Linked DNA regions of Tamandua tetradactyla. The protein of the gene in region 4 interacts with the protein of the main gene of each other region in a biochemical or structural test. Links are inferred from orthologs where the notes say so. Each region holds a gene or a part of one and is shown on either strand. Other genes may lie near its edges. The genes, in order: NTRK1, HNRNPUL1, GABARAPL2 and NEDD4.

Evidence for each region.
Region 1: of the proteins of NEDD4 (region 4) and NTRK1, one has a biochemical effect on the other in vitro, tested with the Homo sapiens proteins (3 studies listed by BioGRID, with this or other methods). The link is inferred for Tamandua tetradactyla from reciprocal best matches to the Homo sapiens genes NEDD4 and NTRK1.
Region 2: the proteins of NEDD4 (region 4) and HNRNPUL1 form a complex in vitro, tested with the Homo sapiens proteins (2 studies listed by BioGRID, with this or other methods). The link is inferred for Tamandua tetradactyla from reciprocal best matches to the Homo sapiens genes NEDD4 and HNRNPUL1.
Region 3: the proteins of NEDD4 (region 4) and GABARAPL2 form a complex in vitro, tested with the Homo sapiens proteins (2 studies listed by BioGRID and IntAct). The link is inferred for Tamandua tetradactyla from reciprocal best matches to the Homo sapiens genes NEDD4 and GABARAPL2.

What each region holds. Positions count from the first base shown.
Region 1 is NC_135330.1:9,862,896-9,870,536, forward strand, and holds the start of NTRK1 (high affinity nerve growth factor receptor), read left to right. Parts: upstream 1-4,496; 5' UTR 4,497-4,598; intron 4,599-5,757; 5' UTR 5,758-5,884; coding exon 5,885-5,903; intron 5,904-6,173; coding exon 6,174-6,316; intron 6,317-7,641. UniProt on the Homo sapiens protein: Receptor tyrosine kinase involved in the development and the maturation of the central and peripheral nervous systems through regulation of proliferation, differentiation and survival of sympathetic and nervous neurons.
Region 2 is NC_135342.1:22,510,117-22,517,615, reverse strand, and holds the start of HNRNPUL1 (heterogeneous nuclear ribonucleoprotein U-like protein 1), read left to right. Parts: upstream 1-4,111; 5' UTR 4,112-4,344; coding exon 4,345-4,639; intron 4,640-7,499. Other genes in the region: AXL (tyrosine-protein kinase receptor UFO), read left to right, coding at 305-656.
Region 3 is NC_135342.1:70,248,257-70,256,160, reverse strand, and holds the start of GABARAPL2 (gamma-aminobutyric acid receptor-associated protein-like 2), read right to left. Parts: upstream 3,145-7,904; 5' UTR 3,008-3,144; coding exon 2,974-3,007; intron 2,644-2,973; coding exon 2,588-2,643; intron 1,455-2,587; coding exon 1,282-1,454; intron 1-1,281. UniProt on the Homo sapiens protein: Ubiquitin-like modifier involved in intra-Golgi traffic. Modulates intra-Golgi transport through coupling between NSF activity and SNAREs activation. It first stimulates the ATPase activity of NSF which in turn stimulates the association with GOSR1.
Region 4 is NC_135340.1:71,135,198-71,143,218, reverse strand, and holds the start of NEDD4 (E3 ubiquitin-protein ligase NEDD4), read left to right. Parts: upstream 1-4,955; 5' UTR 4,956-8,021. UniProt on the Homo sapiens protein: E3 ubiquitin-protein ligase which accepts ubiquitin from an E2 ubiquitin-conjugating enzyme in the form of a thioester and then directly transfers the ubiquitin to targeted substrates. Specifically ubiquitinates 'Lys-63' in target proteins.

The DNA.
Region 1 (7,641 bases), on a different chromosome or scaffold from region 4:
GACCAGGTAATGCCAGCTCTTCCCCTGGGAGTGGGAAGAGAGCTGGAATTGATGGGAGGTGCTGGCTTGATGATTGAGCTCTACTCTCCTCCCAGGGCCCTTGCTGAGAGATCCTCCACCCTTTGGGGCACAAAGCTGGGAGGAATCTCTAGCATTCTGCAGTACTCTGACATCCTGCAGTAATTGGTAACAAAATACCCGAGTACTTTTTGGCAGGTGGTGAAACCTATGGGAGTATTCTGTAATAACTGGCCGAGAGGTACCCAAGCATCAAATGGTGATGGTAGAAAATACTTGGTATTCTGTGTGGCTGGCGGGGCCAGCAAGACGTCTGGAAAAGGGAAGGAACTGCTGGAAAATCCTGCTCCCGTAGCCTCAGGCTTAGACGATGGGCAAGGAACCCTGGCCTCGTTCAGCAAGGGAGTGGAAGGTAGCTGAGGAGGGGGCCTTCGTGGACTGGCCGATGCTTGGGCAGCCTGCAATAACTGGCACTGAGTTCCTCGGGTATCTCATGGTAATTAACGGGAAGGTATTCAACATCTTTCTCTAATGGCCCTAGGGAGACCAGGCAGAGAGATGGCGGCATCTTGATCTGGGCCTAGGTCCCTGCATGGTGGGAGGGGGCGTGAGACCCAGACTGCCAGACCCCCCGGCCCAGCCCACTCATCACCCTGGCCCTTCACACAAGGGTCCAGGCTCCTGAGTGTTCCACAGCAGTGCTCCCTCCTCCCTTTTCTCTTCCAAGCCCCAGGTAGGTTCAGGAAGGGGAGGTGGGGACGGGAGGCTGAGGCGGGGAGGAGGACAGGGCTGGAGAACTGGGAGGCATGCAGGGCGGTGCGCTGAGATGTTCCTCTGGGTGGGGCAGCAGCCTGACCCACCGCCTCTGCCTGCCCGGTCCCCTCCCTCTTCCCTCACCCGCGGAGCTAACGAGGAGATAATGGACTCGAATAGACAGATTGATTATGAATCCAAACGAAAGAGGCAGCTTTGCGACCACGGCTTTGGGTTTGCTGCCTGACAGCTCGCGCACACACTTGGCCGCTGTGGCCACCGCCTTCTCACCCCTTCCCTGGACCCCTGCAGCTCTAAACCCGCTGGGCAGAGGCTGGAGTGGGGGATAGGGTAGGGACCTGCCCTCCCTCGGGGTCACCCCTTGGCCTGTGGGAACCGAAGACCTGATGTCTGGCTGCCCTGCTGGAGACAGGGCTGGAAAGGAGCGGGGCGGGTCACTGAGGCTGGTCCTGGTTCTTTCACAAGTTAGGGGAAATCAGAGGGTGGAGGGGAAGGTTCTGAGAAGAGGCTGTGAGTCAGGGGCCCCTAGCTCATGTGGGGGAGCACACAGACGTGCCACTGCAGGGCAGCTGGAGTTCTTAGGAACTGCCTGGCATGCTAGGCCCAGAAGCTGAGCCAGCCCGGGTGCAGCCACCCCCCTCCCCACATGCCTGCTCTTTCTTATCTCACTATCTTGCTTTCTCTGGTTCTCTGTCTTTATCCATCTGTCTTTCTGTCTCCCTTTTCTTTGCTATTTTTCTTCTTGTCTGTCTCTGTTTCTCTGCCAGTCTCTGCCAGTGTCTCTGTTTCACTCTCTGTCTCTTTCTTCCACCTGCTCCCCACGTTAAGCCTTCCGGCCTCTCTCACTGTGCAGGTCAGTCAGTCCCTGCCTCTCCGCCCCCCTCCACCGCCCACCCCCCTCCGCCACTCTGACTCTCTCAATGCCCCTCTCCTCCTTCCTCACTCCCTCGGGGTGCCTCCTGGAGCAGGGAGGGGCTCGGGGGGTCCCTGACAGCCTCTGTGTCCCTTGCCTGCTCTACGGAAAGGTGTGTGTGGCGGGCGAGAGGCTAGCGGCTCAGAGGGGACAGGGAGTATGTGGTGGCATGTTTGTGTTTGTGTGGTGTGTGGTGTGTGTGTGGAGTGGTGTGGGTAAGTCCTGAGAGCGGACCCTGAGCCAGTGGGTTTGGGAGCACAAATTCGCATGACCTGGGGGTTTCCTGTGTGCTGGGTGGGGCAGGAACAGCGAGGAGCCTTGCTCATTGTGGAAGCAAATGCTTCAAAGAGGGGCCGCCTCCATTGTTGAACATGGGCAGGAGAGGCAGGAGAGGCCCTTGTGCACAGGCAGAACACCAAGCTGAGGATGGACTTGTGTGTTTGTGTGTGCCTGAGCGTGCATATGTGCACATGTGTATGTGTGTGCCAGAGATACACATGAAGGCTTGTGCATATGTGTGTGTCCTGTGATGATGTGAGCATGCATGTATGTGTGTGCACACGTGTCTGTGCAGTGTAAATGTGTGAGGAGGTACGTCTGTGCATATGTGTACGTCTGTGTGTCTATGTGTGTGTATGAGAGATGTGTGAGAGTGTGTACACATAGATGCTTGCGTGAGAGCGTGAGTATGCATCCTGCATGTACACGCATGTGCTTGTGTGTCCCTGCGTGCACATGTGAACACATGTGGGATGTCTCTGTGCACAGGTGTATGCATGCATGTGTACATGGACACATCTTGAATGTGTATGCACGTGAACAGGATTTGTGTGCATGGATGTGTGTGTGTGCATATGAACATGCAGTGCCTGTACACGTGTGTGTGTGATTGTGAGGGGGCATGTGGGTGGGCACAGGGACGCAAGTGGGAGCTGGGCCCGTGACTCCCTTCTTCTCTGCCCACAGCTACATTGAGAACCAGCAGCGTCTGCAGCACCTGGAGATCAGCGACTTGAAGGGCCTGGGGCAGTTGAGAAACCTGTGAGGGGCAGGGGACTGTGGGGGTGGGGGTGGGGCTCAGCCTGGGGGTGGAGGACAGAGAGTCAGGGAGGGCTCCAGGGTGTGAGGCGCTGGGCTGGCGGAAGTCAGAGAAGCTCAGGGGTAGCCGAGGGGGAAACTGAGGCAGGTGGGGAAAGGTGCAGGGCACAGCACTGGAGCTGGCGTGGGTGGAGAGAGCCACGGGTCGAGGGGCACAGGGTGGCTAACCCCCCGGGGGCTGATCTTCCCGCACCCTCCCCAGCACCATTGTGAAGAGTGGTCTCCGTTCAGTGGCGCCAGATGCCTTCCGTTTCACTCCTCGGCTCACACACCTGTGAGTGGTGGGACTGGGGGGAGGGAGCTGGGGGAGGACACCCCAACTGGGCTATGGATGGTCTTGGACCCCCTCAGGGAACTGTCCTAAGAAGGCCCCCAGCCTGGTGAAGGAAGGCGTCTCACCCGCTTTCCTGGGGCTCCTTCTTGCGAGTTCACTCCAGGACTGCATGCAGTACTCTTGGCCCCCAGCCCTGCTAACTGGGCTGGAAGAAGGTCCTTCTTGTTGTCTCACTTCCATGCTTTATGCTGCAGGGACACTTCTCCTAGGTGCCCGCCCCATCTCTCTTCCCTGGGTTGTGATACACACGGTCCAGAGGGAGCCAGGGAGGAAAGCAGGAACTCCTGGTTTGTGGCAGGGACTCCATCTCCGCGCCACCCCCTCCCTGGTGGGAAGACATCCGCATGCCCGCTGGGATGGCCTGGGAGCTGGGAGTCATCTCTGCCACTTACCAGCCTTAACTTTACTGGGAGTTACAGAGGATGGGGTGACCCTGGAGGGAGAGGCTCTCTGCGTCCTTGGCAACCTTTCCCTGGCCACAGGGTTGGGTGGTGCATTGGGAAGGGAGGTGGGGGCTGCCCTTCATGGGTTGTACTAGGCACTGACCGCTTCACTGCCCTTATGCCAGTGAATCTTTGCAGCCAACCTGGTAAGAAAGGTAGCATCATGCCTGTTTTATAGATGAGGGCTCTGAGCGCGGAGAGCCCTCTGAGATCACAGGGCTGTAAGCGGCAGGGCAGAACTAACACCAGCGCTGCCTGGCTCTAAAGCGGGTATTCTTCCTGGTCCTTAGGGGGAGCTCTCCAACCCAGCCCGTCCCCACCCCAATTCTAGGGCAGCTAAGCATAAAGAGGGGACAGGACAGGTCTCCCAAGGCACAGGGCACAGAACACCTAGGCCAGCTTACTGGGTGGCCTGGAGCCGTCCCCACCGCAGAGAGAACTGGGGTCCCTGCCTGCCTTGACTTTCCTTAGTTCCCGAGGAAGGACTGGAGGGAGGAGGAGGGAGGGGACACATGGAAGGACTTGGAGATGCTGGTTCTCCAGTAGGAGGCAAGGGAGTGTGGGAGCCTCAGAACCTCCCCCCTTCATCTCTGGCCCCAGCCTGGACTCTGTGGGGGAGGGGAACACAGATGGAGCCCCCTCCCCCAGCTGTGGCCTCAGCACTTTGCCAGCTGGGGCCTAAGGGTTCTGGGAGGGGAGGGGAGAAGCTGCTCCCTCAGATCCCCCCTCCCCAGGTTAAGTGGGGTTAACCCTTGTTGTCCCAGGGAGGGAAAGAGCCTACCCCCCACCCATCCCTGCTGCCTCCCAGGGCTTGTTGTAGTTGTGAGGGTTGGAGAGGGGGAGGCAGATGTCACCTTCCCCCCACGGCCGCCCTCCTCTGGCTCGCACTGGGTCAGAGTGAGGTCGGGTCACTCACAGGGTCTCTGTCTCGCTCTGTCTGAACTCTCAGGAACCTCTCCTCCAACAGCCTGGAGTCTCTCTCCTGGAAAACCGTCCAGGGCCTCTCCCTACAGGAACTGTGAGTGCGGGGGGCTTCCCAGGCGAGCGCAGTGCGTGTGTGCGTGTGTGTGTGTGTGTGTGTGCATGTGTGTGTGCGCGTGTGTGTGCGCGTGTCTCGGCATGCTGGTCTGTCACTGTGCTGTGTGGGACAGCTTGGGGACTGGGGGGTGGTCGCTGGTTCTTTGGGGCCCCTGTGTCTGGCTGAGATCACAAGTGCCTGTGAAGGGCGCATCAGAGCAGAGGTGTCTGGAGGGGGCTCCTGCCCTGGGGGGCGTGGGGGGCAGGGCTGGCCGTGAGAAATCCCGTGTGTGCGCCCGGGAGGCGGGTGGGAGGCTCTGGGCCGTGCTGCGTGGACGCGCTGGGCTTGCACACGGCGGGTGCACCCACATGCCTGCTGTGCCGTGCAGGCGGCGCCCAGGCGGCAGGGTGGCCCCGATGGCCTGCCGGTCACACCCGGGGCTGAGTGAACCCTTTCTTCCTCGACACTGTGCTCAGAGTGCTCGCTCGCCTGGCACCCACAGCCCACTGCCTTTGACTTTTCTCTATTTTTTTTTAAATTTCTCAGTCTTTTTTTAAAAAAATGCAATTTTGAGATGTAGTCAACTCACCATACAGTCCCTCCAAAGTATATTATCAGCGCCTCGCAGTGTCACCGCCTGGTTGTGCATTCCTCACCACAACAAATTTTAGAACATTTTCATTACTCAAGAAAAAGAAATACATGTAAAAAAGAAGACCCAAAATATCCCATACCCCTAATTACCACCCCCCACCCCCAATATTGATCGCTCATATCGATGTGGTACATTTGCTACTGTGGGTGAAAGAATTGTGAGCTATTACTGTTAACTGCAGTCCATAGTTCCCAGTAGATAATCTTTTCCCGTGCACCAGTCTTGTTGACACCTTGTAATAGTGGGGGGCCCTCGTTCTAGTTCATAGAACTCTTACCTATCTGCGCAGTGCATCACAGTTATCCTCCTGTATTTCTTTCAATTGCATCTTGTTCCAGGGGTGCAGGAGAGGAGCTCCTCCCGCGTCCGCCTTCTCGCACCTCTAGACCTTCCTCCCTGGTGTCCCCGCACCTCCGCCCACTGTGGGCATTTAATTCCTTGTGGCTCTTCAGGCCCCATGCCTGCGCCTTTCCTCACCCCCTTGCTGTCCCTCCCGCCCACCAGGGTCCTGTCCGGGAACCCCCTGCGCTGCTCCTGTGCCCTGCGCTGGCTGCAGCGCTGGGAGGAGGAGGGGCTGGGCGGAGTGCAGGGACAGCAGCTCCAGTGCCGCGGGCAGGGGCCCCTCGCCCTCATGCCCAACACCAGCTGCGGTAGGTGCTGCAGGCCGTGCTGAGGGGGCTGGGAAAGGAGCTCCCTGCTTGGGGAGAGGGCCCCGCCCAGGGCTGGTGGGCATCCAACCGGACTTGGCGGGGGGGGGGGGGGCAGGGGGAGGTGGCAGGGGGGAGCTCTGGGCGGGGGACTGAGGCACAGGGCCTTGCCTGGGCTCAGCGTCATGAGGAGGGTGGGGGAGGAGCACTGCCCCGGGGAAGGGTTCGGGACCACTCCCAGCTCTGACACCCCTCGGGCGTCCGGGTGGCCAGGTGTGCCTACGCTGAAGGTCCAGATGCCCAATGCCTCGGTGGACGTGGGGGACGACGTGGTGCTGCAGTGCCAGGTGGAGGGGCGGGGCCTGAAGCAGGCCGGTTGGCTCCTGGCGGAGCTGGAGGAGGCAGCCACAGTAAGGGTGAGAAGCCCGTTACCCCCGGAGAGACCCGGCAGGGCAGGGGAGAGAGAGATGCACACGGGGTACACAGAGACAATGGATAAGTTGCACACAGAGCGGGAGGGACGGACAGAGTGGGCAGGAGCCCATAGGGCTCAGGCTGGGGCACACCCCACCCTCGGGGCGGGCACTTAGGCAGCCCCCTCTCTGGGGAGCCTGGTGCTGATGGCAAAAGGGCCACAGCGCCCTCACACAGAGCCGAGAGGGACCCGACAGACCATCCCCCCCAGGTACCTGCTGTCTAGATAAGGGAAACTGAGGCCCAGGGAGGGGCATAGTATCTGCGCTTCTGCCTGGGGGGTCGTGGAGACTTTCCAGGTCTCCTTTTCTGGAGATTCTGGAAGCAGCAGCCTCTGGGGTGTGATGAGCATCTTAGTAAAGGAAACACATGCTTTTGGTTCCAGCTCCCTCACCAATTAATTCTCGGAGTGGCTTTCAGAAAAATCCCTAATCTGCCTGCACTTTGGTTTTCTTATCTGTAAACTGAGGAAGTGGACATGATGGCCTTCTTTTTTTTATTATTTAAATTTTTTTTGTTAGAGAAATTGTGGGTTTACAGAAAAATCATGTGTAAAATGCAGGATTCCCACATTGCACCCTATCATTAACACCTTGCATTGGTGTGGTACATTTGTTACAACTGGTGAGAGCACATTTTTATAATTGTACTATTAATTATAGCCCATGGTTTAACTTAGGGTTCGCCATTTGTGTAGTGCCGTTTCATGGATGTTTTTAAAAGTTTTTATTTTGTTACCTTCTATAAACTTAATATTTCCCCTTTTAACCACATTCGAATAGATATCTCAGTGCTGTTAATTATGTGCACAATGTCATGCTACTATCACCACTGTCCATTACCAAAACGTCGCCATCATTCCAAATAGGAGCGACGTGATGGTCTGATGTTCCGCCTGCCTCTGGGCATTCTCTGGCCTCTATCTCTGTCATCCAGACGTGTCTTTGGACACCTGCCCAGGCCTTGCCCTTGGTTCCCAGGCTGGTGACGGCAGCCGGGAGTGGTCTGACAGCTAAGGCTCGGAGGCCTTGATGACAAGGTCACCCGGGGCTGACAATGGGTTGTGCCTGTCCGAAAAGCCAGCCCCACCTGGGCAGCAGGAGTGTGGCACTAAGTCCAGCCCCTGGGAGGAGCTGGGCCAATGGCCAACGGGGTGTTCAGTTTTGAGGCTCTCACTGTGGGAGGGGGGTCAGCACCAGAGTTGCTGGAAGACCCTGTAACCGTGTTGAAGGAGGGACCATTGGAGCCCTGGGTAGGGGAAGCCCAG
Region 2 (7,499 bases), on a different chromosome or scaffold from region 4:
CAGGCGTTGAGGCCTGAGTCTGTTCTGGGGAACCACAGTGGGAAGCTCTGTTCTGACAAGCCCCCATTAGAACACCACCCCACGCCCAGAGCACAAGACCCGCCTAGCTCCCAAATCTTCCAGGAACCCGCTTAGAAACTCTTGGGAATTCTCAATCCCCACAGATGCTTCCAAACTGCTGAGGTTCCCTGCAGCCCACAAGAGATGTCCCCAGTCCCCTTAGTGTCCTAAGGTGCCCCAGACTCCCAGAATGCTCCCTTCCAAGCCCCCGCTCATCCTCCCACTCATCACTCTGTCACCTTAGGTACGCCCTGATGTTCCGTTGCTGGGAGCTAAACCCCAGGGACCGGCCAAGTTTTGCAGAACTACGGGAGGACCTGGAGAATACACTGAAGGCCCTGCCCCCAGCCCAGGAACCTGACGAAATCCTCTATGTCAACATGGATGAGGGTGGGGGTCATTCCGAGCCCCTTGGAGCTGCTGGAGGAGCTGACCCCCCCATCCAACCTGACCCTAAGGATGCCTGCAGCTGCCTCACTGCCGCTGAGATCCACCCTGCCGGACGCTACGTGCTCTGCCCTTCCACAGCTCCCGGCCCCACCCTGCCTGCCAACAGGGGCTCCCCTGCACCGCCAGGGCAGGAGGATGGAGCCTAAGTCAACCCTCCATCTGTGACTCCCTCTCAGGACCCAAGCTAGGCACTGCCACTGGGGGGAATGCCCCACGTTACTTTCCCATCCCAGGCCTTTCCTTCACGTGCAGCCCTCCTTTCCCACCCACCTCCAAACATCCCAAACAGACCCTCCCTCTTCTCCAGGCCTTAGCGTCCTCATCTGTAAAAGGAAGGGAGTTAGCTTCAGTCCTGAAGGGTCCTCCCAGTTTGACATTTCGAAATTCTAGATTCTAGGATCTAAAGAGTCTAGAGTTTAAGGTTCTGAGTTTCAAAGATGCTATGAGTCTTTGGTTCTAAGGAGCTATTTCAAGGTCTCCACTGATAAAGTTCTAAGGTTCTAGACGTGGAGGTTCTAAGGCCTAATGTACTAAAGCTCTGAGATTCTATGAATCTAGATTTTCTGGTTCTACGATTCTTGATAAGGGTCCAAGATTTTAGGTTACAAAGCTCTAAGATTCTAGTTCTAGCATCTAAGGCTTTATAAGACTCTGGATTATAAGGCTTCAAGTTTTCTACTCTTAAGATCTGAGATTCTCATGACAGTCAATTCTAGGTTCCAAGGCTTTATGATCCTAGATTCTTTTGTTATAAGAACCTGGATCCTAAGAGTCTAAGTTTCTAGAATCTGCATTTCAAAAATTCTAAGTCTAAACACAGAGGTTCTAAGGTCTAATGTTCCGAGATGAGATGTTCGAACACTCAATGAACCTAGATTCTCTGTGTCTAAGATTCTAGATCATATACTCTGAGATTCTAGATTATTAAACTCTAATAAGATGACGTTGTTTCTATATTCCAAGGCACTGTAGATGCTATTGGTCTAAGATATGGATCCTAAGCATCTAAAGTTCGAAGACTATCACCGTTAGTTGTAAATTTCTAAGATTCTAGACACCAACATTCTAATCATTTCTAATGTTGGACACCTCTAGGTTCTATGCTACATTCCGTCTTTCTAGGATTTTAGTTCCTAAGAGCCCAAGAGTACACATTTCTAAAATATTAAGATTCCAGGCACTGTAGTTCTAAGACTCAAATGCTCTAAGTTTCAAAGATTCTAAAATTCCACAGGTCCAGAATATTAGTATGATTCCAAGGTTGGAACCTTATAATATTCTTCTATGTGCCCCTCCCTTTCTTAGCCACCTCTGTTTCCTTCTACCCTTGAGTGGAGGTGTGCTGCTGCCCTCAAGCTTTGCAATGCATTAGGGATGCCTCCTCCCCCCCCCCAGGAGACAATCTCCCCCATTTTGGGTCATGCTGCCCCCTTGAGCCAGTCCTTCATCCCCCATGTACAGAGTGTGGACTCTGGTGCCTCTGGAGAGGCTCAGTTCACATAAAACTTCTGTCTCTTCTTGTCTCCCTCCAATCAGCTGTGGTGTGGCCCCTCTCCCTGCCAACTCAATTTCCCCATCAATAAAAAGGAGGTGGTAGGGCCTCAGAGTTGTCATGTCACTATAGAGCTACTCAGAGGGTAGAAAATACACAGAGACAAAAAGACACACAAGCAAAGAAACCCAGACTGAGAAACTCTGAGTTAGGAATAGGCACATAGATACACCTGGGGTCACATAAAGACCCCCAAAGTCACAGGCACATGAATCAATGGACATAGGTGTGATGGTTCACAAATACAAAGGCACTGAAAGAGATAAACGAAGTTACACAGAAACAAACATCTTTACAAACATACACACAGGCAGATACAAGGAATAGGAAGATCAGAGTAACAGAGATCCTAAAACAGTGACACAAGTACTCAGAGACATATAAAAGTACAACAGGTACAGGCGCAAACGTACAAATTCACACAGAGACACAGGTACAGAACGCTTGCCATAATCACCGGCCACCAAGGGGACCTCTGCCAAGACAAGCCCACTGTCTTGCAGGCATTGGCGGGCATCCGTTCCTGGGTGTGTCCCACATCTGATGGAGGAACCCTTGGCAGCGCCCGGACGCCCCCCGGTGGCGGCTCCTGAGGACCGGGAACAGTTCAATCCGGGCCACAAACTTTTTAGAACAAATCATTGTGGGAAGCTGGGAGGAAAGAGGAAGTCGGACGTGGGCGAGGGGCGGGGTGTCTGGACTGGAACCTCCGGGCCCACGTGAGTGTCTGCCTCGTTTCTGAGTGGGTGCTGTGTGTCTAGATTGCTGGAAGCTTGCAATGTAACTGTCCTGTGTGTCTTTTGATGCCGCGTGTCCGTGCGGACCTTAGCTGACGCGTATACGCGGCTATCTGATGCATCCTGAATTGGTGTATTATGCCCGGAATTATTGCATCTAATCTCAGTCTCATCGATTTGTACATCCGTGCCGTGCATTCATTTACGTTGAGGCTGTTGTGTGGCTTTTGTGGGCTTAAGATATGGCTCACTGGACAGAGGGTGGGTGTATTGTGTATCTCGCTTGTGGATTTTACTGAAGTTTCGTCTTTCGAGTTAGAGACGACAGGTAGTGCAGGATTCCGGGTGCGAGGCAGTCATTGTGAAACTCTGTGGCGTTTGTATTTATCAGTGTGAAGCTTAACTTCGTATCCGTATATTGAGCTTGTCAGTACCGCCGCCAAACAGATCTGGGGTAAGAACAAACAAAAACAGCTTCTGGAATTCTTTCGGGGGCGGGGCCTCCTGCGAGAGCCCATTCCACTTAAGGTACCAACCATAGAGAAGAGGCCGCAGAGCTACGCTCGACGAGGGCCTTGAGAGCTGCACCATCGAAGGGGAGGGGGTGCAGCTTCCTTTACAACTTTTCTCCCCTTGTTAGTCTGGCCTCTATTTTCGAATCTTCAAGGGCTCTCCGAAGTCAAGTGTTGTTTTCATAAAGGCAAGTGAGTTTCTTCCAGGTTAAGAAAAAAATGATCTACTTCATCTCTATTCCGTATACCTCCCTCTACAGCGAAACTTTTGAGGCCGTCCTCTGAAAAACGGCCAATCTGGTTAGCTTTTCCTAAAGCATCCAGCTATCTTGGCTTTACGAGATAAAACAGTAATTGCGATTGACCGACAGACTGTTTTGAAACCGCCCTAACGGCAAGAGGCGGGTCCTTCGTTAATAAATCTCCTTCCGGTTCTTAAAGCCACCAGAAGATTGGTTGTAGTGGTTTTACCGCTTGGCCACCTCAAGGGGCGGGAGATCTACACCAATCAGGATGTGTGTTACAGAGATACTAGGTTGATGAAAGAACTGCGCAGGAAAGGGTTTGGTGGCGCTCATTCTGAGACCTCATTGCTGACTGGTCCAAATCTTTACTCCCTTTCCTTCATTTGATTCTACGGTAGCGGGCGCGCGGGCGCCACCCAATCAGCGCGCGCTCCGCCTTCCGCCTTTTCCCGCCCTCCGCTCCGGCCGCGGCAGCGACGTAGGCCAACGCTTCCTTCCCGGTAGTTCCTAGATCTTCTCGTTTCCATTGTTTTGAAAGCCGCGATCTAATTGGCTGAGTTTCCGGACCCGCGCCCGTTGCCCCGTGATCTGGCCAATTGGCATGCGTGTTGCATCACACGGGGCCACGGGGAGGGGGAGGTGGCGGCGGCGGCCATTTTGAGCCGCCGCCGCCGCCATTGGAGTGCCCCCCCCTTCTTCCCCCTTCGCCTCCTGACAGGAAAGGTTTAAGGGGGACAGAGCCCTGGGAGGCCGGGCCGGGCTCGGGGGCCGCCCCGGGGGCCCGGGCCATGGATGTGCGCCGTCTGAAGGTGAACGAACTTCGCGAGGAGCTGCAGCGCCGCGGCCTGGACACTCGCGGCCTCAAGGCCGAGCTAGCTGAGCGGCTGCAGGCGGCATTGGAGGCCGAGGAGCCCGACGACGAGCGGGAGCTCGAGACCGACGACGAACCGGGGCGACCCGGGCACAACAACGAGGAGGTCGAGACCGAGGGGGGCTCCGAGCTGGAGGGAACCGCGCAGCCACCGCCGCCCGGGCTGCAGCCGCACCCGGAGCCTGGCGGCTACTCGGGGCCGGATGGACATTGTGAGAGTGCGCGGGGCGGGGGCCGGGGCCGAGGAGTCCGGGCCGAGAAAGGGCTGAGGGACGCGGGAGTCTGGTGCCTGGGGCTAAGGAGGCGGTCTTAGGGGCTAGGGATCCTGAGACCCGCCGCTGAAAAGGATGTGGGGACAAGGGCCTCGGGAGGGCCGGAGGGTGGATCCTGGCATTCGGCGCAGGGGAGATGTTGGAATTGGCGACTCTTCGTTTCGGAGATGAAGATCGGGGGTAAAAGATTTCGGAGCCCAGGGCTCGGAAGCCGGAAATAGAAGAGACTGAAAGGTCTCGGAAAGGATGGTCCCAGAGTTTAGAGCTGGATGGTCTTGGGGACTTTGCTAGCCTAGCGTGTGGGTGTGGGAATTGGAGGCCGTGTGTTTCCAAGGTTGGAGAAGGAATAACCAGCTCTTCGGCATTGGGAGAGTTTGAGGATTGAAGTTTGCAGCTACATGGGGTGCTGGGATGGTTTGTAGAGATGGAGGGTCCATTGGGCCTGGAGGTGGTCAGCATCCTCTTGAGGATGGCTTGGAGGGTCTCTGAGATCCAGGGCTGGAAGGCCAACCTTGAGGCAGGAGCAACTTGGGCATTTGGTGTGGGTAGGAGGACCTTCAGATTTGCTGCTAAGGGAGGCTTAGGGAACCTTGGCGTCCAAAGTTCTCTGAACAAGAGACCTGGGGGCCTAAGGCTGAAACAACTAAGGGTAGATACCTCAGGGTGGGGACAGATAACAGGTTGTTGGAGTTTGAAGTAACTGGAGTACTTGGGGACAGAGGATCCTTGTATCCAGTATAGGGAAAAGGGGTGAAGGGAGCTTGTTGGATGTGCAGAAGGAAAACTGTTTGGTTTGACTGGGGATTCACAATAGAGTGGGGGCAGTGTTTTGGGGGCCAAAGACCTGTCTTTGAGAAGGGGGCACCTGGATTCCTGAAAGCAGTTATCTGTGTGCCGTGGGGCGGGGGGGTGACCTCAGGATTTGAGGGCATAAGAGGGACTTAGGTAGGGCAAGGGCTTCTGAGCAGAGGAGACCCTGGTATGGGAAGGAGTGAATTTGGAGTTAGAAAAGGGTGAATTTTTAGCAGGAGTGGGGGTTGGAAATTTAGAGACCAAAAAAATAAGTGGGTGGGACTCTGGTGTCCAGAGTTTGGTTTCTTTGAAAAGAGGGTATACTGGGGCTTGGGACTAAGGAAATATAGAAACCTGATCACAGAAGAGACAAAATTTCAGGTTAACATTGGTTAATGAGGGATGGGAGCTAATGGAGAGGAGTGGGGAACCTGAGTATAGACTTAGGGTCGAGGAGGGTGCTAGGATTATCCAGGACCCAGGTGCAGAGAAGAGGACTTCCCATTGCAAAGGGAAGGGAAGGAGAAGTGGCCTGGTGTGCATGTCTAGGGCAGGAGGGACCTTGGCAAGGATACCTAGAAGGAGGGTAATGTGGGACAGTTTTGATCTAGAGGTCCAGCCAGAGGTGTCTCAGAGAGGAAGAGTTCAGTACTTCACTGCACAAATTCTAGACACACACAGACTTCCTTTCATGTCTGATTCTGTAATTTGGGCAAGTCATTCGTCTCTCTGAGCCCTATAAAATAGAGATGATGATAGGCCCCCTCAGGCTTGTAATGAATTAGATCATATATGTGGGGGGCTTAGCACTGGGCCTGCCTAGTAATTAGCAGGGGGATATTTTAGAGAGTGGAGAAGGACCCTGGAGTCAAAACTTCCCGACGCGATGCTGCTTCTGTGAGCACAGGAAGGGTGCTTGGGAAGAGGGATATAGGGCATGTGGGGAGACGAGCACTGTACTTAGAGCATGGAAGAGGCAGAATGGTTTGAAAGGGCCCCCTGTGTTTCATTTAGGAAATATTCTATTTTTTCCTCTCTCCCCTGCCCCCCATAACAAAATCTTATTAACCATTTTCGTGTCCACCCCCCAATCCTTCATTCAGCCTTGTAAACAGACCTATAACAAACCATGTGACTTGCAGCTATCCTCCCTTTGGGTTGCACCTGGTTTTGCCCAGATGTATTTGTCCTCTGAGAAGGAAACCAGTTGGTTAGCGGGTGGCAGAGTTATCTCTCCTTCCCTGTGTTTCTGCCTTAATGCTCTGGCACAGCCACTAGCAGGGCCCTGGAGACACCCAGCAGAGAGCTGCCCCCTGGGGTGGAGAGGCTGGGCCCTGCTCAGCAGAGGTTTCTCAAGTTCTCTCTGGGTTTGCCTGTAAGTTCTCCTCCTTGTGGGAGTTTCTGGTTTGGTACTCTGGTTTCAGTCCCAATTCTGAGATTTCTGATATGTTATGCCAATCCCAGGAGTGGTCTCCTCCATTCTCATCACTCAGTTATTGCCTATGTATCCTTCCTTTGTAGTCCTTAACACAATCATAACTTTTTTTGTGAGTATTTGTTTAATGTATGCTAACCTGAAGGCTTCTGCTGGGCAGGGGTTCAGCTCAGCTTATTCTCAACCATATCTCAGGGTCTATATAATACACACTCCAGGAATAGTTCATATTATTGTTCTTTCCATGCTCCAGCTGAGCTCCTTCTGGACTCCTAAGACTTCTTGCCAGAACCCTTCTAATCTAACTCTAAATATTTCAAGACTTATCCTTAATGAATCTGAAGGCCATTATTGTTATAAACCCTATTTTCATTACAGCTCCTTTCCCTCCTCAATTTCTCTTTTCAGTATAGTATGGTTACCCCTTAATGTTTGGCAGCTATTACAGAGTGGGAAAGATTCTTAAAGAAGGCTGGCTATTTAGGCAGGACTAATGAAGGGAGCTAGGCAGAGAGTTGGTTTTGTACTCCAAATTGTTTTTAAGATTGTGCCCTAAAGGCATCTTTCTAAGTT
Region 3 (7,904 bases), on a different chromosome or scaffold from region 4:
TTAAGGGAAGCCAAGAGCAACTACAGATGGCCAGGGCTTCCTCCCTGGGTAAGAGTACACCAGCACCACACTGCCCAGAGGCCTGTGGAAAAGGCAGGGAGGCTGGAAGAGCCCATTGGGGTGACTAAATCACCTCTGGCAACACTGCAGCTTCTAAGTTACAGCTGAAGAAGACAAATGGTACCTCGTGGGCAGGACACTGGCATTAGAGAAGAGATTTCTATTTCTTCCCTGCCCTGCCTCTCTGCCAAACACGAGGAAATGAAGACATGGAGATTGAGAAAGAGGAAATCAGACTTAAGAATAAACAGGTCTGGTATTTGCCTTAGCCCTCTTCTGGAGCTTTCAAGGATTTTTAAAGGGAGCATATTTTGGCCACAGTGGGCTAGTTACCAGCTTTAGTTAGATATACTACTTTTAGAGTAACAAATAACACCTGAGTTAGTTGTGGATTACCAAAATACAGCCAGGAACTCGCACTCAGGGGCGAGAAGCACACAATCAGTAACAGTAAAGGACAGTCCAGAGGTTTAGACTGAACCAGTCCATTTTCCTTTCCACAGGGAACTAAAGCTAAGCTGTCAACCTCACAGAAGAGGAAAAATTGTAACGCCCTGCCTAGATTTAGGTCCCAAGTTATAACCTCAAAGATTGCTTTCAGGTAGCAAGACAGAGCACAGGAGCTCCTCTGACAGTCAAAGCAGGTGGCACCAAGACAGGGTTAATCTGTAGAGACTTCAGGGCCCTTGACTGGACAGTAGCCATTTTAATGGACTTGAGTGAGGATCAGGGACCTATAGATTCTCATAGTGGGAAGAGCTAACTGCATTTAGACAGCAAGTAGCAGGATGAATAGCTGAGGCTGAGTCTCAGTCTCAGCAGGGCCCACAAGCTCCTGGTGGAGTGACAGGTCTAATTTCACAGATCATTTAGAGAAAACTTTATTTGAGGCATCAGTTCCAGCTATGGCTTAAAACTGAGTCCTCAACTGTTTTAAAAGATTCTTGGGGTTCTAAGGCAGGGTTTCTTTCGTCTTCTTTTTTTTTAAATTCAGGCCCTGAATTAAAAAACAGGGACTGAATTCTCTTTTGTTAACTTAAAGTATGCTCCCATGTCTTGCTGCCCTTCCTCATTTTCATGGAGGGCTCCTGATGCTAGGAAGCACAAAATCCAGATATTCACTCAAGACCCTTAAGAGTATTCACACTTTCAAAGTTCTGAGTTTGTAAGACGCCAAACAGTGGTCATTACCAGAGGGCCCTTCTACTGACCATCTCTCACCTGGACTGTGGGACTGTCTTATCCACAAACAGGAAGATCGCCTTTTCAGAAGGAAGCTGAATCCTTTTTCTGATGATCCACATAAATTGAGCCACAGTGATGTCAGATGGAACCAGGTACTTCCGTTTGTCAATGTCAACAATTTGAGAGCCTGAGACTTTTTCCACAATCACCTGAGAAAGTAAAGAGAAGTTAGGACTGGATTTCTAAAGTGAGGCTCTGGCCTCACATTGTCAGGGAAGCTAATAAATACAGTAAGAGCTAGGAGGTGGGTGGGAAATTGAGTAGCATGAGAAAATAAGCCCCATCTTAATAAACCACACACTCTGGAGATTGAGAAATGACATAAACGTGTTACAATGGTAAGTGCTTTTCTGTGGTCACGTACTGTATTTCTCATCCCTGATCTCAGCCTGTATAAGAGAAACACAGCTCTTACTACTAAGCTTTTCAACATTCTATTTGAGCAGAAAGGAGAATATCTGGTGAGGATTTTATCTAAAGCCTGTTACCCCAGGATCCCAGACAGGATCTGCTTCACACTACAGGAGAATTAATATCCCAAGGAGCCCTGGAAACAAAGAGGGATGGACTAATAAGAATGACTAGCTACCCCAGCCAGCCAAGAACCACGCTCTTCGTTTGGCCTGTTGCTTCTGTCTGAATGAGGTCTGAATGTCCTTCCTGCTCTCTCTCCAAAAGAATTGTTCACAGGCAAAGAACTACAATAAAAGGCCTGATTCCCTGGGAAAACCAATATTTCCCCACCCTGGAAGAAATACAGGATCATACTTATTGTCTATTAAAGGGAAACCAGAGGACAAGGGATTCTTTTGTGGCTTTCAGGTTTTTTTTGGTCAAAGAAAGCAGGGTCTGAGTGAGGAAAGGAAGCTGGAGGTTATGTAAAAATGGAGGTTTGAAGTTAAAAAGGAATGTTCTGAGACTGAAGTACCACTTCTAAGACCAAAGTGACAGTCCTCCTCCACCATTATTCCCCCAAGTGGCAATGACCTATTGCCCTGTCCCAGAACAACGTTCCTTATATAATTGGCGAGGGAGCCCAGAGGCTGCAGACAGCTCTCTGGCCTAGATCAGGAGATTCAGCACCGAGAAACCTTGAACAGCAGAAACCCGAGCCCCTCACGCCCTGCCCCTGACCGCCCTAACACAGTCCAGCCTTTCTGCTACTACAACCGGGACTGGAACCTCAACTTGTCAACTGCTGAATGGCCTAGTATCCTAATCACAGACCCTAGACGGCAGGGGTGACGGCGAGGTGAGGGGGCGGGGGAGGCCGAACACTCACCGGAACCCGGTCGGGATATTTCGCTCGGATCTTCGCGGATTCCACGCATCTGTGTTCTGTAGGGGAAACACACGGAGCTGACAGACACGCCGGCCGGTATCGAGTCCCCAACCTTCCTACCCCGCGACCTGCGCACGTCCCGGGCCCTCGTTCGAGCGTCCCCGCGGTCGCTGTCCTTTATCCCCTGACTCTTGGTCGGGACGAATGAGGGCGTGACGGGGCCGGCGTCGGCCATCCAGGGACCGGGGCCTCGGCGTCCCAAGCCCAGGGCACAGCATCAGCCCCGCCAGGCCCGACCCAGGACAGCCCGAGTGGGGGAGGGGGCCCACCCGCCACCCCCACCCCCACCCCCACCCCCACGGCCCGGCAGGCGGCCAAGCGCTTACCCAGCGAGTGGTCCTCCTTGAACATCCACTTCATGGCGGCGGCGGCGAAGGGACAGAGCCGGCTCTCCGAGCCGCGGAACTCAGCGCACCGACCACAACAACAACGACGGCAGCGGCGGCGGCGACTACACGGCAGGCGGGACTTCCGGCTGCCCGAGCTTGGCAACGGGCAGGAGGCGGGGCTTCCGGCGCCACTTGCCGGGGCACCATGCCAGGGGGCGGGGCCACACGAAGGGGAGGGGCCTGGAGGACCCCGCGAGGGGCTCCGCGGGGCGCCGGGACGGTTACCTGGCTACCTGCTGCGTAGGTGTGTCTGTGAGGGATGCTGGTGACTCCGGGAGAGGATGCTCCGGGAAACGGTGACAGGAGCAGGGTCTGGGTGGACGTTAGTTATGGGAAGGGGAGTTTGGAGTATGGCTAATAGGACAGGGCAATTACAGAGGGCTTTTGATGGGGAGGTCTGATTAGGGTGTTAGTTGACAGGAGGGGATGTTTGGAAGTATAAAAGACATTGGGTTTCTGGGGTTGACGATGGAAGGGGGTCTGTTTGGGTATTGACATTGTTTGGAGGGGGGGGCAGGTGTGGCTCGGTATGACAGTGTGTGACTAGTTTGAGAAGCCTGGGGTGGGGAGTGGTGTACTAGAGACAACCTGGAAGACACTCATAATAGGTTGCCTTCGATGTAGAAATCGAATTTGAACAACTTTCATTTCCTTCCTTTATTCATACATAAATATTTGATGAACATTTAAGAAAGGGCATCAAAATACACATTTGAGGAATGTAACTTTATTGATCACTAAGAGAGACCCCTTAACCTTACCTAGTGACTGTCAGTCTCGAAGAATTACCGTGACAGCTGGTCAGGAGTCGGGCTTCCTTGTTTGGCAGATGGAGGATTGCAAATCACAGCCTGGGCTGTGTGTGTGTGTGTGTCACTTGCCCCAGCACATGCCTTGACGCCTTCCAATCCATGATGTAATCCCCTTCTTCCAAGCAGAGTCATCAGGGCAGTCCAGTCTGGGTCATCATCTATTTATGAGCTGGTGAATGTTTAATAAGAATATTCACTTAATTGGGCACATGACCCTTACCCCGTGCTTGTGATTCTGATGCATCTGAATGGCCTGTATTTGAATATTATCATTCATCATTTCCTACAATTAAAATTCTCCATGGATGCTGTTGAATCTAGCTTCATTTTAAAATTATTTTTGTTATTTTAAGACTGCATGTCTGAGCAGCCAAAATAGGTGAGTGTTTGTTTGTTGATAATAACGTGAAAAATTCTTTTAATTTCATACATAGAAATCAGGTGTTTTTGTATACGGGAGCACTGTTCTAGGTGCTGGGGAAACAGCAGTGAGCAAAACACATAGCATCCCTGTTCTCATAGAGTTTACTAAAATTCTAGTGGAACAAGACAATAAATAAATATGTCATATAAATAGAGGTGCTGTTTAGAAAAGTAAAGCAGGGTAAGGACCTAAAGAGTGATAGTGGGATAAAATGCTTTATGGATCGAGTGGTGGCATATTATGGGAACAGGAAGGAGCTGGTGTGTCTGGAACTGAGGGAACAAAGAGGACAGTGGTAGAAGAGGAGGTCAAAGAGGTTTTGAGCCTCATATACCATGGACAGAACTTTGAATTTTATTCAGAATGAGGTGGGAAGTTAGTGGAGGACTTGAGCAAAGGACTTTCCTTTTTAAATGATCAGACTTGCTTGTGTGTAGACAGTAGATTATGGTGGGGGGTGGGGGTGAAGGTGGAAGTAAGGGGACAAGTTAAGAAGCTGTTGTGATAATCCACATGAAAGATGATGTTGATTTAGACCAGGATGGTATCTATGGTGGTGGTGGGAAGTAATTATATACTGGATATATTTTGAAGGTTAGAGCTTACAAAATTGGCCGATACATTTAAGTAAAATGAAATGACCACCCACTTTGGGCATTGCCAGGAGAAGACCCCTTCCCAAAAAGCTTTTCTAGAAGACAAAAACAATTCTGAGAAAATGGAATACACCCTACAGGATTGCTTTGGTCCAGTAGAGAAAGCTTATCAGAATGGACAAGCATACCATACTATCAATTTATATCTGCTCCCCACTTTGTAAGACTCCTCTATGTAAAATGGAAACTAATAGCAGCCAAGCAGAACATTTCCTTGCTTGCTTCTGCTTTCACCCTGTCTGAGCTTCTCTTTTTCACCCCTTTAATGGCGCTTCCTTCTACTTTCTGAATGGAATCCTGCCCAGTTTAAGAATTACTTAATAATGCTTTAAGATCCTAAATTGTATGAAACGTATTGCTTTTATCAGATTGGATATGGGTGTGTATTAGAAGTCAAAGTCGAGGTTGTTGGAAGAATTGAATTGCCATTTGCTGAAATAGGGTGGAGCCAGTGTTGTTGAAGTGGGGTCAAGAGTTTGGTTTTGGATATATTAAGCAAAAGATGCCCAAGAAACAGATCCAAAAGACATCCAAATGAAGATGTGAAATTGGTAAATAGATCTATTAGTCTCAGATTCAGGGGAGAAGTATTTAAAGCTATGGAACTAGGTGAGAGCTAGAGGGTGAGTGAAAATAAAGGGAAAAATATCTATTTTAAGGATAGAATTAACCCCCAAGGAGTGAAGATGGTTGTTCACCTTCTCATAATGTGTGAATCAGCAGAGGAGTTAGAAATTGGACCCAGACTCTTGCTTCCCTTTACAGAGTTGGTAATTATGTTCTGGTCCCAGGCATGTATCTATCACCTTGCACATGAGAACTCAGTATATTTCTCAGGGAAAGGAGTTATCCACCATTCACCAACTCATGGTCCTGCCTCCTGATGGTTTCATTGATGTGCAGTGTCTTTCTGTCCTCTCTCCCTACCTACTTTTTTTTTTATGTCTTTTCCCATAATAAATACTTGTGTAAAGTTCATGCACCTCACAGAAGCTGAAACACTCAATGCACCTACATTCTTAGCAGTCAGCTGCTTCTATTTCAGCAGTAACTAAATTGAAACTAGCTACAGTATGTTTCCTTCAGCAGTCCTTCAAAGCCTCTTTCCTCCAAAGAGGACTGTAACCAAGAAACCAGGATTTAAGTGATGACTTTGATTACTGAATCATTATATAAATATTCCTTTTTCCTTTATGGCATATTGGACAGAGGGAAATACCTGAAATCTCTGAACTGTCCTGATCCCTGGTAATGATTGTATAGCCCTTATCTTCTCTGTGATTGTAAAAACCCTGTGACTGATCTTCATTTTACCAAGTTATCCAGTTTTTCAACTTTAGAGTCTTGTAATAACTAAAGACAGCCCCTAATATTTATTAATGAAGTATCTTGGGTCTGGACCAGAACTAACCCACCCCAAATCTAAAGTTATCTTGATAAAAGAGACTGGATCTAACAAAAGCGGGTCTGCCTGACATGTGCAGTAGCTTAGACTTTAACCTGTGAGACACCTATACCTCTCCATCATTTTCTTACACACGTTCTGTAACTAAGCATGTAATCGATCTGCACAAGCTCAATAATTAGATCACCTCTAATTACATCATCTGGGGCCATTGTGCTCATTATTCTAAACCGTGCCCATCTTTTCTCTAATAAAACTATCAGAATTACTGCAGTTCAGGGAAACAGATTTGGGACAGCTAAGCCATCTATTCTTGTACTACATGCCTCATAATAAACGCTATCTCTCTTTGAAACCCTGGTGTCTCAGGAATTGGTTATTGAGCGCGTCGGGCAAAAGAATCCACGGCCTTTGTCCAGTAACAGGGCCACACTCAGGAGGCACTATCTGGCATCTGTTCTAGAAAAATCTTATTTTAATAGCTACTTGAGTAAATGAAAATCATCCACTTAAAATGTACACAGTATAATTTTTAAGAATCAAACCATAGACTTGAGCACAAAAATTGCTGAAGTTAAAAGCAATGTTGCCACCCCAGAAAAGCTTTAAAAGCAAGAATGAGAGTACTGGACTATGTCAAAGTCATATTTTATGGTTGAGGACAATGTCATCTTGGACCCTTGTAAGGACCCTGAGGATAGTTCTCCAGAATGGGCAGCTCTTGATCTCTGTATGTTTGAATCGCAGCTGTTCATCTAGTAGCTACTTCTAGGTTGCCTTCAAATTAGGGGCACCAGCTACCGGACTCCACTCAGCACAAATTTCACATTATCTCTCTCTCTTTCTTTTTTAAATATTTTTACTGACAAAACAACATACAAACAAACATTCTTAACATATGAACATTCCATATATGGTATACAATCAGTGGCTCACAATATCAGCACATACTTGTATATTCATCACCATGATCATTTCTTAGAACATTTTCATCGCTCCAGAAAAAGAAATGAAAAGAAAAAAGAAAAACTCATACATACCATACCCCTTACCCCTCCCTCTCATTGACCACTCATATTTCCATCTACCCAATATATATATATATATATAATCATTTTGTTCTACATATATAAACAGTAATTCACAATATCATCACATAGTTGCATATTCATCATCACGATCATTTCTTGGAACATTTGCATCTATTCAGAAAAAGAAATAAAAGAAAACAGAAAAAAATTCATACATACCATACCCCCCACCCCGTCACATTATCTCTTGATACTACGATGTGCTCCTTCAGGACTCTTTAATGAACTTGGGTGTAAACCATGGTAAAAAAAAAAATTCTTCTGCTATGTCCAAAATACTAGTGTGTGTATGTGTGCGTGTATGCGTAGCATTCCATTAAGGGGTAAGCCAATGCTATTTTGGGGTAGGGCTACAGCTTTCCCTAAAACCGCTAGCCAAGCTTGTACCCACTATCTGCAAAGAGGTCAAGTATATCATGAGTACTATGTAGTAATTACCCTCTATCCGTCGGAGGCAAGGAACCTGGCTTTGGTCTTAGC
Region 4 (8,021 bases):
TAAGTCTAGTTCATTTATAGTAATATTCAGATTCTCTATTTCTTTGTTGATCCTCTGTCTAGATGTTCTGTCCCTTGATGAGAGTGGTGAGTTGAAGTCTCCAACTATTATGGTATATGAGTCTATTTCCCTTTTCAGTGTTTGCAGTATATTCTTCACGTATTTTGGGGCATTCTGATTCGGTGCGTAAATATTTATGATTGTTATGTCTTCTTGTTTAATTGTTCCTTTTATTAGTATATAGTGTCCTTCTTTGTCTCTTTTAACTGTTTTACATTTGAAGTCTAATTTGTTGGATATTAGTATAGCCACTCCTGCTCTTTTCTGGTTGTTATTTGCATGAAATATTTTTTCCCAACCTTTCACTTTCAACCTATGTTTATCTTTGGGTCTAAGATGTGTTTCCTGTAGACAGCATATAGAAGGATCCTGTTTTTTAATCCATTCTGCCAATCTATGTCTTTTGATTGGGGAATTCAGTCCATTGACATTTAGTGTTATTACTGTTTGGATAATATTTTCCTCTAACATTTTGCCTTTTGTATTATATATATCATATCTGATTTTCCTTCTTTCTACACTCTTCTCCATACCTCTCTCTTCTGTCTTTTCGGTTCTGACTCTAGTGCTCCCTTTAGTATTTCTTGCAGAGCTGGTCTCTTGGTCACAAATTCTCTCAGTGACTTTTTGTCTGAGAATGTTTTAATTTCTCCCTCATTTTTGAAGGATAATTTTGCTGGATATAGGAGTCTTGGTTGGCAGTTTTTCTCTTTTAGTATTTTAAATATATCATCCCACTGTCTTCTAGCTTCCATGGTTTCTGCTGAGAAATCTACACAAAGTCTTATTGGGTTTCCCTTGTATGTAATGGATTGTTTTTCTCTTGCTGCTTTCAAGATCTTCTCTTTCTCTTTGACCTCTGACATTCTAACTAGTAAGTGTCTTGGAGAACGCCTATTTGGGTCTAATCTCTTTGGGGTGCGCTGCACTTCTTGGATCTGTAATTTTAGGTCTTTCATAAGAGTTGGGAAATTTTCAGTGATAATTTCTTCCATTAGTTTTTCTCCTCCTTTTCCCTTCTCTTCTCCTTCTGGGACACCCACAACACGTATATTTGTGCGGTTCATATTGTCCTTGAGTTCCCTGATACCCTGTTCAAATTTTTCTATTCTTTTCCCTATAGTTTCTGTTTCTTTTTGGAATTCAGATGTTCCATCCTCCAAATCACTAATTCTATCTTCTGTCTCTTTAAATCTATCATTGTAGCTATCCATTATTTTTTCTATGTTTGCTACTTTATCCTTCACTTCCATAAGTTCTGCGATTTGTTTTTTCAGTTTTTCTATTTCTTCTTTATGTTCAGCCCATGTCCTCTTCATGTCCTCCCTCAATTTATCGATTTCATTTTTGAAGAGGTTTTCCATTTCTGTTCGTATATTCAGCATTAGTTGTCTCAGCTCTTGTGTCTCATTTGAGCTATTGGTTTGTTCCTTTGACTGAGCCATATTCTCAATCTTTTGAGCGTGGACAGTTATCTTCTGCTGCTGGCGTCTGGGCATTTATTCAGATTTCTCTTGGTGTTGGACCCAGCAAGGTTGTAATATTTTTCTGTGAAATCTCTGGGTTCTGTTTTTCTTATCCTGCCCAGTAGGTGGCGCTCGTGGCACACGTTTGTCTGCGGGTCCCACCAGTAAAAGGTGCTGTGGGACCTTAAACTTTGGAAAACTATCGCCGTCCTGGGGGTTCGCTAGCCGAAGCGGCTTGAGCCGGCCCGGGGTCCGAACGCAGGGAGGGTTGCTGGTCGCTGCAGCCAGGGAAAGAGCCCGTCCAAATTTCCTAGTCGGCCCTGGGCAACAAGCGTGGCGGGAGGGCGCCAGCGGGAGCGGCCCGCCCGAGAGAGTGCACGTTCCCCGGGAGTCACGGGGTCACCGTTCTCCGCGGCCTGGGGGTTTCCGATCCAATTCTCTCAGTTGGTCCGGGGACTGCGCGTGGTGTGGGCGCCAGTCGCCTTGGTTTCAGGGGACCACCTCTCCAATTCTCCCAGCCGGCCCGGGAAGGGGGAAGGGAGTAACTCCGGCCGCTTGCCACCCCGCCCGGTAAGGCCCGCGCGCCTCGGCGATCTCACCCAAGCTGCTTCTCTCAGCCAGCCAGCCGTTCCAGGATGGGGTACGCTGTCTTTTTTATCTCTGTTGTGGCTTTGGGCGCTTTCTGTATCGTTTCTACTCCCCTAGTAGGTGTCCTGGAGAAGAAACTAAGATCCGCGCGTCTTACTAAGCCGCCATCTTCCAGGAAGTCTTAAGCAGATTTTTTTCATTTGACCTTGAAAGATTTCAGCAAGACTGAAAGCATCAGCATTAAAATATAAAATACTGCTGTGAATGTTTACTCTGGGGCTATCAAGTATAAACAATAAGTGAAAACTCAGTATATACTTTTTTGATTGTTTATGTACTTTAGGTAGTAGAAGCAACAAATGGTTTTGTCAAGTCGGTACTAAAAGGATTCAGAGCACTAGTTTCCATAAAAACCAACATCTACTTTGGGTGGTTCTAACCTAATAAATTTAAAGTCACTAAATAAAATTGATAATAAGTTAAAACCTAGTCCACACTTAAGTGCTTGCAAACATTTAAATAATCATTTAAAGTTCTTACTTTCTATTTTAGAAAATACTAAAAAATAAATAACAAAATTCATCTTGTTGTTATAAAATTATTAGAAAATGGCTGACACATGATTCTCTGTTCTACTATTAAGTAATTTATGTAATATAAAATATATTGTAAGTAACACATTAGGTGGTGGCAAAACTTCAAGCACTGATTTCTCAGGATTTGTGGACTGATATTCACTAGTTTTTTTTTAATGCAATTTAGTTGAGATATATTCACACACCATATAATCATCCAAAGTATACAATCAGTGGTTTACAGTATCAGCATATATTTGTGCATTCATCACAAGAGACTTTTGAACATTTTCATTGCTCCATATACAATAAAAATAATAATGCAAATAAAAGTAACACATCCCATATCCCCTATTATTTATTTATTTATTGTCTTTATTTTCTTACTCATCTGTCCATACACTAGATAAAAGGAGTCTCAGTCACAAAGTTTTATTAGTCACCTGGTCACACTGTGAAAGTTATATAGTTACACAACAACCTTCAAGAATCAAAGTTACTGGATTCCAGTTTAGCAATTTTAGGCATTTCTCTGTAGCTCCACCAATACACCAAAAACTGAAGCTGTTCACTTGTTCTTAAAGAAATCTTGTGTTTTTGTTACTTAGGTCCATCCTCAGCAACACCGGCTTCTTTTCGAAGTGTTTGATGAAAATCGCTTGGTAAGTGATACTGTGCTAGTGTGAAGTATGAAACAAGGGCATATTTCAGTAGAGCAGCAAGGGAAAGTGTGATGGGAATCTGTGCTTTGGGCGATGATGGATACAATTTTGGTTTTCCTTTTTTCTAGTGCTCCTCTCTACCTTTCCACCATCCTCCCAAGAGATAATAAGGAAAACTGGTTTCTGTCTTGCCTTTCCTCGTGCTCATTTATGTACCTGGGTCAATAGCCCAAGGCTCAGGGAGCCTTCTCCAGAGTATCCTGGGTTGTGCCTCCTCACTGCAGTGTCTTTTCCTGGGCTCACCTCTATCCAGCTTACTACATCCCATCTCCTTCCTCTTATTTCCACCCTTCTACAAAGGAGAACTATCCCGTTTCCACTCAGAAAGGAATAAGCAAATGAATTCCTCTAAAGGATTTCCAGTCTTACATTGGAAAAAAGCAAAATAAAACCTGATTTTTATAAAATGATTTTATGGTTCCTGATTTCCTAAAGACTATCTTGAAGTCCTATCCTTTTCCTTATTTTCTCTCTTAGAGATCCTATTTCTAATTCTCTTCTTAGCATCTTACATTTATATTTTAAATCTGTAAAATTTAAACATATAGGTATAAGAACACTGTTATTTGTTCAAGGCTTATGGTCTTATCACACACATATACCCAAAAAGAAATTAAAGTTTCATTCTTTTTTTTTACATGGGCAGGCACCAGGAATTGAACCCGGGTCTCCAGCATGGCAGGCAAGATTTCTGCCTGCTGCGCCACTGTGGCCCACAGTTTCATTCATTTTTAAGCTAACAAGGACAATGGATTTTGAGAGCATCTGTGTCTAGTGTTAAAATGCATAGCATATTTTTTCCCTCCAGAAACCATAACTGTGCTAGTAGCTGAAGATATCATAAATGAATCTATTAATTAGCATCATCATAAGCAAAGGTGCTGCCAAAAAGGACTGTTCATCACTGTGTACAATCTGATTTTCTAAGGTTGAGTGGCAGATACTGATGATTAGGTTACCAAATATGATCAGGTACCAAACTTTATGTTTTCTGTTTTTAATTCTAGTGTTCTTTTAATCATAAAATGTATAATATAAACAAAAAAGTATATGAAAGACAAATTTTTATTTTAAAGAATTTGATAAACAACTGTATACTCATTATTCAGCTTCGCAACTAGAACATTACCAAATACTTTGAAACCCTTCTTTGTCCCTTCCCAGTGGTATCTCGTTTCTTCTCCCATAAGTAACCACTATCCCTAATTTTATGTTTATAATTTAAGATATTTTTTATCATATATCCATTTTAAAAATTGGTTTCTTTTTGCTTGTTTTTGTATCTATAAAAATCGTATCATTCTGAATGCATTCTTTTGTGACTTGCTTTTTTGTTTAATGTATATTTTTTAGATTGATCCATGATGACACATTTTGACTGATGTATAGTATTCTATGATCTACAAAATCCATTGTCCTTGTTAGCTTAAAAATGAATGAAACTGTGGGCCACAGTGGCTCAGCAGGCAGAAATCTTGCCTGCCATGCTGGAGACCCGGGTTCGATTCCTGGTGCCTGCCCATGTAAAAAAAAAGAATGAAACTTTAATTTCTTTTTGGGTATATGTGTGTGATAAGACCATAATACCGTATCTACAAAATACCGTAATTTGTGTATTTATCCTCCTTAGTAGATATTTGGGTTGTTTCCAGTTTTTTGCTATTATCAATCAGTAAATGTTCTTGCTGTGTTTCCTTATGGACATGTACAAAGGCATCTCTAAGGTCCATATTTTGGAGTTGAATTGCTGAGTCATGGTATTAGTATCTTATTTCTCCTGTTATTACTGATACTGATATAAATTTCTCCCTGATTTTTGGGTGTATTGTTGGTCAACTGTTTATCTGTTGTCCTCAAAGAGGGAAAACTCGTCTTTTTCCTTTCCACTCTGGTTAGCTGTTTAGTCCTTTCTTACAGTAATTTTAATATGGTATGACTCTTTCATGGCTGAAATTGATGTTTATCATACATTGATTGGTGCATTAACATTCCTTAAGCATTTACTCTGTGCACAGTACTATATGGGATGTCATGATGAGTTGGAAGGAAAAAGTTTTGCCTCTAATATTGGCAATTGGATGTTTCTAGATTGATAAGTATGATACATAAAAATAAATTTGTTTACTAAAAACAACACCAAAAGATGCATTCATCAGGATATTATAAATCTCCACACCAAGGTCTCAGAAGTTTTATTGAAGTCCTGCCTCTGCTGTGGTATATTACCTTGTAACCCTGGACGAGTCATTTAATCCCTCTGAAAATATTTTCTTTTGTTTTAAAAATGAGGTTAACAATATTTGCCCTGCCTTTCTGATAAGTTTAATGTAAAGATAAAATTAGATGACTATGAAAGCATTCAGAAAATTAACCATCATGATATAAATATGAAGTGTTATTTAACATTCTTGGGTTCCTGCATTTATGGCTTTCCGACACCGTATTTTTTGTGTTTACTAAAGTATGTCATTTAGTGTATGCATTGTTAGATGCTTTGCTGTGCATTGGAATATAGCTGCTTTTCTCAAGAAACTCACTTTACTAGCAAAAGGGAGCAAAAGATCATTAGAACTGGGTCATGTGTGTTGTTGTTAGTCCTAGCAAGAAACTGAAGTGTGCAGATACTGAGATATTACAGAAACTGTAGCGGCTGGTAGAGTAATAGACTTGATTCTGTAACATTGAATGACCTATGCCATTGCACATGTCATCCTGTCTCTCCTGAAGCATTCACAACTAAATTAAGAACATATCCTTTACCTAGCAAGTTCTATTAGGAAGTGTAGGGAAAAGAATATAGGTATAATTTTAAACAGAAATAACTTTTTGTAATTTGGAACACTTTTGCAATATAACTGACCTTTGCTGTTAAGAAAGTGTAGGCTCGCTTTCCCATTTTTTCAGTCAACTTAGATCCTGAGGGTTGATTATTAACTATAGGACTGGTGTTCGGTGTTGGTGTAATATTGATGTTGGTAATGCTGGTGATGGAACGTTTTAGAATGATGTGTCTTTAAGAAAATTCTGCCCACCAATACAAAAGTTACTATTTCTGTGTCACCTAAGAGATATGTCTGCACATCCAGCCACTGAAGCTTTAGGAGACTCCTATATTCTGGGTGGAGATGCTGTGTTTCTCCGGTTTCGTGATCTTTGGCCTTAAGAATTCTAGTCAGTGGATAGAGTTATCCAGGGCCTGTATATACCATGTGAGCAATTGCATTGTTTTTGTTGTAGATAATCAATAACCAGAATCATTCAGAAGAGTTGTGAGTCTCCATCTAATCATAAGGCATTACTGGCATACCTTGTTCTATTCCACTTTGCTTTATTGTGCTTAGCAGATACTGCATTTTTATAAATTGAAGGTTTGTGGCAACTTCATGTTGAGCAAATCTATCGATATCATTTTTCAACTTCATGTGCTCACTTTGTGTCTCTGTCATATTTTAATTAATTTATGTACATTTTTAAAGACATAATGCTATTGCAGACTTAATAAACTACCATATGTATAAATGTAACTCTTACATGCACTGGAAAACCAAACATTTGCGACTCGCTTTATTGCAGTAGGCCGGAATCGAACTCACAATATCTCTGAGGAATGCCTGTATCTGTCTCACTCGATATGGAATTCCCACAGGACTTGTGTGGGTTTCTCACATGAGGGCTGCCACCACTCTCAGGTTCTTCCCTACTTGAGCTTAGAGTTGATGCCCCTCTTTTGGCATTTTATGGGCTAAGAGGCCATATTTTACCCCAGGTTCCACAGCAGTATCTGTAATCGGTATTACTGATTCTGTGTAATCCTAGACCTCGGCCAGCAGTACAAACTGTTCAGCCTCTCTAGGATTTAAATTCAGACTGGAGTGTTAGGAGTTGCATATATATTCTCTTACATTACCTTTCCTTTGCTGAATCCTTCTCTGCAAACTTTCCTTTCCTTCTTGTCAAGCTGCAGTGCTTTTTGCTAGGATCAATGTCTCTCACTTTCTCTCCCACACATACACACACACACACACACACACACAACCTGAAAGGAAGCGTCAGGCAGACAGCGTGCCTGGTATAGTTTAGTGCTTACTTTGTGTCCAGCATGAGTTCAGGAGGATTGGAAGAAATGTTTAGTTATGGTTCTTGAACACTGGAAGCTTAAAATCTAGTTAGGAGTCATGAAACTAATGCTTATAGTGAAGCTTATCAAAGAGAAAACGTTTATCCAACCAAATATATGATGCTTGTTATTTTCTATTAACAGAGATGTTTTGCTTATTAACTGGAAATTAGATTTGCATTGTTGATCCATCGCAAGTAATCCATTATTTGGGTTACCAGACCTCCATCTTAATCCAAAAAGGAAAGCTGTAGTCATGTGAAGGCAAGGTAAAAAGATTAGGACTCTTCCTTCTATATAAAAAAAAAAAGATGATAAGGAATAATTTACTGAAGTTTGTAAAATCATAAAGGAGATAGGTTTCATGAAACCAAATAACATAAACATTAGGTTTATAATTACTGTATAAATTCTCAAATATAATGCTATTTCTTTTTAGTCAAATATATACTTTAGTAAATGCCTTCAATTCTATCTTGTGGTGTTTAAATGG